Linked DNA regions of Mus musculus: region 1 is reported to be linked to region 2. The links are microRNA targets in miRTarBase. Many come from high-throughput screens and were not tested one by one. Region 2 holds a microRNA gene; the other region holds the end of a gene's coding sequence.

Region 1 (3,404 bases), not on the chromosome of region 2:
CCATGGGTCCCTCCATGTGTACTCTTTGGTTGTTGGTGGTCCAGTCCCTGGGAGCTCTGGGGGTTCTGGCCTGTTGACACTGTTGCTCCCTCCATGGGGCTGCAAACCCCCCTCAGCTCCTTCAGTCCCTTCTCCAACTTCTCCATTAGGATCCCAAGCTCAGTCCAGTGGTTTGCAACCATCTTTTAACTCCACTTCAAAGCAGTCTGATGTCCTCTCCTGGTCTCTGACAGTGCAGCAATCATATGCTACATTTTCATAATACAGTCATGCACTTATACCCACAACAACAAAATAAGTAGATCTTTAAAAATAGCTAAGTCCATCAACTTCGGTTTTGCCATGAGCAAACTCTTGCTCAAGTGTGGAATTTATAAGAAGGTAACAGAACTGAACCCCCTCATAGGCTAGTTAATATGCCTGATACACTGCTTCTTTTAGCATGACGAAAAGCTTGGGCTCCTCTAACAAGATGTCCCAGGAAACAACGGAAGAAAAACTCAGATGTAATAACCTCTCTTCCCTGTTTGTCTTGCAGACCATAGACAGAAGTGAGGATGTCTGCCTGAACCTTTACCTTCAATGAAGAAACGTCACTGAGCAAGAAGTTAGTTGGCCTCCGGTTTGCACAGGCGCCAAGGGAAAGCTTTCTTCTTCTTTTATTTTTATTATTTTTTTTATTATTTTATATTTTACTCAAAGAAAACAAAATTTTTATGTGCTGTGCGAATGGTTCCTCCGTGTGGTCTAACACTTATTTTTGTCTTTTTTTTTTAATTAACGGGAAAAAACAAATCCCAGAAAGGGGTGGGGGATGGCAAACATCACAAGTTGATGCTGTCTTTGGAAAAACAGAATTTGCCTGAAGGTATAAGTAGATTTGTTTTTTAAAAAGTAGAAACACCAATGTCAAGAGTTGGGCAACCAGATGTTTAAGAAAATTATTTTCCTCAGTAATTAAGCTATTTTTTTCCTCTTCTTTTCTTTTCTTGTTTGAACCTCCTGGGTTTTTTATATATATATAAATATTTTATGTTTTCTTAGAAATATTTAGGTAAGGTTTATCTTGAATCTTAATTGCCTTAATTTTTAAGGACGTCAAAGGCTCCAGAGGCATGCTTTCAGCGTCTTGTTAAAAAAAAAAAATCAAGAAAGAATTGAGTTTTTGTGCCAGCCTTCACTGACATAGAAGATGGAGACTGAGTTTTTAGGGTGGAAAAGAAAAAGAAAAAAAAAAAAACAAAACTGTACAGTTTGAAGGAAAATGTGTTTTCTTCATTTGAAGAAAATTTGTTGATAAAAGAAACCAAGGCAACCGCAAGAGTTTGGAAACGCTGGGACTTCTCATGAACTTTGACACAATCACTCTAAAAGGCTAAAAGACATTTTATGGTAAAGTTATTCACGTTGGTTTTAAAAACAACTGCATTAGAAATAATGCAAGTTTGGGGGGCAGAATGCAGATTTTTTTTTTTTTAATTTACAAGAGCGTGGTTGCTAGCGAAAGCGTCAGTGCTTTTTATCTGCAGTTTTTTCTATGAGCTTTGTCAGGTTTTAGTCAGCTTTGCTTGTCACATTGCAAAACCTAGCATAAGAGCACTCAAAACAAAACTTAAGTAGATAGACGCTTATGGTCAAAAAGTGCAAAAAAATAAAAAATAAAACAAAAACACACACACAAAAAAACAAACAAAACAAAACAAAAACAAAAAAAAGCAATAGATAGAGAAATTGTTGACAATTTCTGTAGTCTTTCTTAGTTGTGGTCAATTGCAGCCTATGGATGGCCTATTTTATACCAAAGATGAAGTGAGACCCTGTTACAGGCGTGATGGTAGACACTGCTTTTCTTTCTTTGAAGTTTTGTTTGACCTACATGGCCGGACCAGTTCTAACTTCATTTAAACTACCTTCCACTAGTGTGTTACATACCACAAAAAAAGAAAAAAGAAAAAAAAAAACATTGTTTTTTCTAAAAATGTGTATTTGTCAATAGTTGAAGTTTGTTCCTACCCTGCTCAGCAGTTTAAGCATGAAGAATCTGAGACCCAGTGGATGAATGGATGCAGGCGGCTTTAAGTCCTGTGAGCTTTGCTATCTCTTGACCAGCGCTCTCAGCAGTGGATCGACGGCCACCAATACACCCCGTCAGTTGTTCAAGAGATTGAAATGCCCTCATCTGAACTTCAGGCTAAGGATGCTTCCTGAAGGATGCTTCTGATGTCTGAAAGGCCATTTGTCAGAAAGGCTGTGATGTTCGGAGCTGTGGGTTGTGGTCCCCAGAGAAGTTCTCACGAATTGGTAACAATGTTTCTTTCAAACACTGACAGTAACCAATTTTTGTCTTCTCACCTTGGTTTAGTTATCAGCCCTCCTCACACAGGCGCTTTGATTCTGTGTTTGGGGAGGGAGTGTTTTTCTTTTACCTCCTCTGCCTGCTGTGTTCTCATATCTTGATACTGACAGGAGAGACAACACAGCCCTCTTTAAATTTTGGTTTAATTCTCCAAGATAAGTGGGGCCGTTAAGATCTAAGACTCCTTTGAGTGCAGTAGGGGCAAGCTCTTAACACCTTAGTTGACAATCAATAAATTTTTTTCAACAAGAACCACAAGAACTAGGGGTTGATCCAGCACCGAAACCAAAGGAGATATTTGCACTTAGAATAATGCAAAACTTGGCTTAAAATGATCTAAATTGGCTTAGTGAGAGAGTCCTAACTGTTCTGACTCATCAGATCTGGGATCAACGGATCTTGTTTTCCTGGAAGTTAGAAGCAGTAGCTTGGAACTCCGTTCATGGGACCATTCCCAAGAACTGCTTTTGAATGAAACTTTGAATCAAGTAGGCAAAGCTCTTTTCTGCAGGTTACTCCATCTGAGTGCATAGGGAGGACACAAAACCGAGCCGCTGGAGAGGAAAAGAGAGTAGGCTTTCAGAAACAAAGTAACTTGTAAGGCAAATCACAGTCCCATTAGGCCCCACAACTAATGAGTCTGCAGGTCCATATTCTGCTGTCTCACTAGACCCTCCTTCTCTTCTTTGCAACCCTGTGAACTGAGAGCTCAAACCCAGAAAGTCATCTTGTATGTTGGTCATCAAACTAATTACAGAACAGTATCCAAGGAGACAGCATCACACTGCAGAGACCTTGTGGGCTTCGCCTTTATCCTAATGTCTTTCCCTGCTTTGGAGGGAACCTGAGATGCCTACATCCTTCTGTCACACCAGTCAGCTCCCTGTGTGTTGGAAGGGTGGACTTGAACATGTCTATGGAAAGCAAGCCCTCAAGTTCCAGGGGCTCTCAGAAAACTCACTGAGACCCAACTTTCTCTTTCTCCTTCGGCTTCTCTCAATTCTCTGTGTAAGTGAGGATTATCCTGGGCATCATTCATTTGAATATG
Region 2 (3,404 bases):
AAGGTATGGCAGGCTCAGTGACCTATTGGAGGGTATTTTTAGGGCTAAGCTGGTGCCATTAAGGAACAGTAGTAAAGTAATTATGGGCCTCAATCAAAGAGCAGGTAGATAGAGTGGTAGAACTAGGAGTGGGTAATATGGGATAGTAACTTTCCTGTAAGAACTTGACTGGTTAGGGGGTGGGGGCGTTAGGTACTACACTGAGGAGCAAAAGGGATATTGATGTACATGGGAGGGCAATGATGAAGCTAAGGTGAGCAATGTAGAGGCTACTGATGGGAATGTCAGCAGATGCTCAACCTAGGGTGCTTGGTGGGCCTGGCAAGCGCTTTCACCCCCAAAAACATTCAGGGGGTCAGGTAAGAGACTTCTGGAACTGGTTAAGGAAGCCTGTGTATAGCTCAGCTACAACTATCCCTGAGCTACTCAAGTCCCGGGGCGTCCTGTTGGGTCGCCGAGGTAGGTGTTAAGTAAGGCAGCCTGGTTAGCACCCATGTCCACAGGGAAAACGGAAGGACACAGGTGGGGGCTGCCACCAACCCTTCAGGATATGAGGGAGGTAAAGGTTATGTCTCCCTGTGGAAACCAGGATGCTCTCACAAAAGCTAACTATGTTGGCTCTATTAAACACCAGATTCATTCAGTGATCACTACTTGCCTAAAATTGAGGCATTTCTTAGAAAATCATCATGAATAACAGAAAAGGGGGAGCCTAACTGCTCATTGTACTGTTTGACCTAAGCTAGTTCCCAGAACCCCATGGTCAATTAATATGCATAAATTTATTGACGAGCTAGAGAGCAGAATAGTAATAGAGATTGGGCATCTAGGTTGCCTGGACGGTCTGAAGGGGCCCTGCATACTACAACACCAGACTCAATATTCCCAACAGGGAGCTCACTAAAGGGGATCATGACTTAGCTTTTATTATTGTGGAGCGAGGAAACATCCTATTTTTAGTGAACGTGCAGTCTAGTAACTCCCTCCACTGCCTCAGGTCCGCTCCCAACCATTTACAGGCACTAAATCTTGACTTTTTTTTTTCCTATTTATTTCCCTCAGTGGCTTTTACTCAGTTCCATTTCCAAGTTGTGATTTAAGTAACCTCCATGTCGGAAGATCTGGACTTCAGGTTTCTTCCTGCAGAGCTTGCGCTTCTCTTCCTGGGTAAGCAACTATGCTGACATCCTGGTATAGTTAACAACAGAGGTGGCATGAACCAGGCCCAGAATGCCAACCAGCTATTGGCTGCTGTTCTCCCAGCAGTGTAACACTTGCCTAGGTACAAGGAAACCTAGGTAGCTGCCTACAGCTGGGGCAAACCGGAACTAGCCGAACTGTACTTACCAGGGCAGACATCGCCTCAAACTGGCAGCTGGCCACTATGAAATCAAAACATCCCAGATTAGAGTCAGCCTGTCGACACCTGTGCAATTAAGTTAAAAAACCATCTCCAGCCCTCAAACCCCCTTCACTTTGTTGGGCTGAGTCAAAGAAACAAGAGTAGAGAAACAGTGTGACTTTGGGAGCTCCACCCCCAAATAACCATTCCACTAGCTAAGTCCACTCCCTGGAGTTCTTATTTGTAGAACGGCATTAGCCATTACCCCTGTACATCAGGTAGATTGGACCACAGTGCACTGCTCTGGTGGCTGATTCCTGTAATCTTAACTTGTAGGAAGCCAAAACAGTAAGACTGCCTCCAGAACCAGCCATCCTGCACTTAAGAGAACCACTTTTAAAAATGACACTTTAGTAAAGATGGGGGGTGGGGGCTGACTAAATCTAGACAACAGGCTTAAATACGGGACATTTTTAAAGACAATAAAAGTTAACACTTCGAATAGTAATTGAATGTAGATGTAGTGTGAGGGAGCTTGTGCTTGAGGTTTGCATATCATTTTAACATATCTAAGGGCAAGTTATCCAAGTCCAAACTTCACCCCTAACCAATTCTGACCAATTTAATGGAACAGGAAAAGGAATACAGGACTCATGGTTTAGGTCTAAAAGCCCCTTCAGGGCGTGGGCTGAAGCAGATCTGGTTCTCCCCGGACACGTGTTCCACTGAAACCTTTCTCGGTCCTTGTCTGGGGCTCCGGAAACGCTTAAAGGAGCCAGATTCCAGGTGACTTCCTAGCTGGATAGGGGTACTGTACCTCACTGGCGGTGACTCTTCGGGCTATTCCCTTTAAGATGACCTCCAAGACCGGAGATAAAAAATTTAAAAAAAAAAAAACCCAATTCCTTTTCCTGCCCAGGCAGAAACCTTCTCGCCCCCGCTTCTCGCCTGGGCTAGTAAAACCTCCAGACCCCTTGCTCCTTGGGACCTCACTCACCCGCACGTGCTCGGAGCTCCGCAGGACACACCAACCTCGGCAGAGGCCGCGGTGGAAAGGGCAGCCGGGAGCCGGCGGGAGCCCCGCCCTGGGGCGGTTGCAGGGCGGAGCGATGAGTCCCGCCCAAGAGAGGCGGGACTAGAAACACACAAGGCTGACCAGGGAGGACAGCGACATCCCTATAAGAACAGACCTGGGTGTGAGAATTGGCTAGTTTCCTCACAAAGGCTACATTCCCTGAGCTCCCATCGGGTTCCTTAAGTATATGAGTCCTGGGTTTGCAGCTGCTAAATTTAAAGCCCCTTGTGTCCTAATGGGAGCCAGACCTACTGCCTACCTAGTGCTAGCGGTCGCGGTTTCTGCAGATCTAGCCCACGATTTTGCACCTCCACGTGCAGATCTTTCTGGCTTTCATCATCTGCGTTGTTAGTTGGTTAATGGAACTCCCACACATGCAGGTCGCTTGGTTATGTGCTCTGGGTCTTTTCTGGATGTTAGTTAGATTAGGCCGGTCAATGCTGTAGTCTAACCCTGCGGACCACAGCCTTGACGTCCTTCATTGAAAACCCTTAACTGAGTGGCAGCAGCTAAGACTGGCTTTCTCTGGCAGATTTGGGCTGCTTCAGTGACACAGCTAGCTAAAGAAGGCCATATCCTGGATCTAAGTATACACTTCTCTGTTACCAGGATTTCTTCTGAACACTAACGTTGCTGCCTTTGCCCTGTAGTGATTATGCTTCTATCCTGTTGAACAATTGTCCTGTTGTCCTGTTGATGCTGCCCAGGGCCCATAAGAGCAAGGCCCACCAATCGCAATTCCTGGATCTATTTTGTAACTCCTTCAGATATTGCTTTCTGACTCGCAGCCGAGGCTGTTGATTATGACACCTGTCAATAATGGTCAAGCAAGCCTCCTGGAATCAGCCACTGTCCTTGCCATCTGCCAACATGATTTATTATCTATTTCCTCAGTTCCTTCATAGTGAAAGGGGGTGGGGGTGTTCCTGTGCATTACAACCCTAGCATACCCCTTTGAAAACACTTGGTGCTCCAAATTGATTCCGA

What was found. The annotated mature microRNA mmu-miR-1949 reads CUAUACCAGGAUGUCAGCAUAGUU and lies in region 2 at 1,174-1,197, opposite strand. An mRNA with a match to its seed (bases 2 to 7 or 8) in the 3' UTR can be bound and repressed. Matches are read on the target gene's strand: a 7mer-m8 pairs with bases 2 to 8, a 7mer-A1 pairs with bases 2 to 7 and ends in A, and an 8mer does both.
Region 1: the mRNA of Rbms3 is a reported target of mmu-miR-1949. Seed matches in the 3' UTR shown: 7mer-A1 at 868-874.

Annotation. Positions count from the first base shown.
Region 1 is chr9:116,575,837-116,579,240 of GRCm38, reverse strand. Rbms3 (RNA binding motif, single stranded interacting protein) reads left to right here. Exons shown (of 15, transcript NM_001172123.1): 15 at 539-3,404. The coding sequence ends at 545. Among named protein-coding and RNA genes, the nearest start is that of Gm39449, 52 kb to the right of the region's middle.
Region 2 is chr18:35,552,405-35,555,808 of GRCm38, reverse strand. It overlaps Mir1949 (microRNA 1949), which reads right to left and starts at 1,242; the gene lies at 1,173-1,242. It overlaps Snhg4 (small nucleolar RNA host gene 4), which reads right to left and starts at 2,399. Exons shown (of 4, transcript NR_038073.1): 1 at 2,340-2,399; 2 at 1,348-1,382.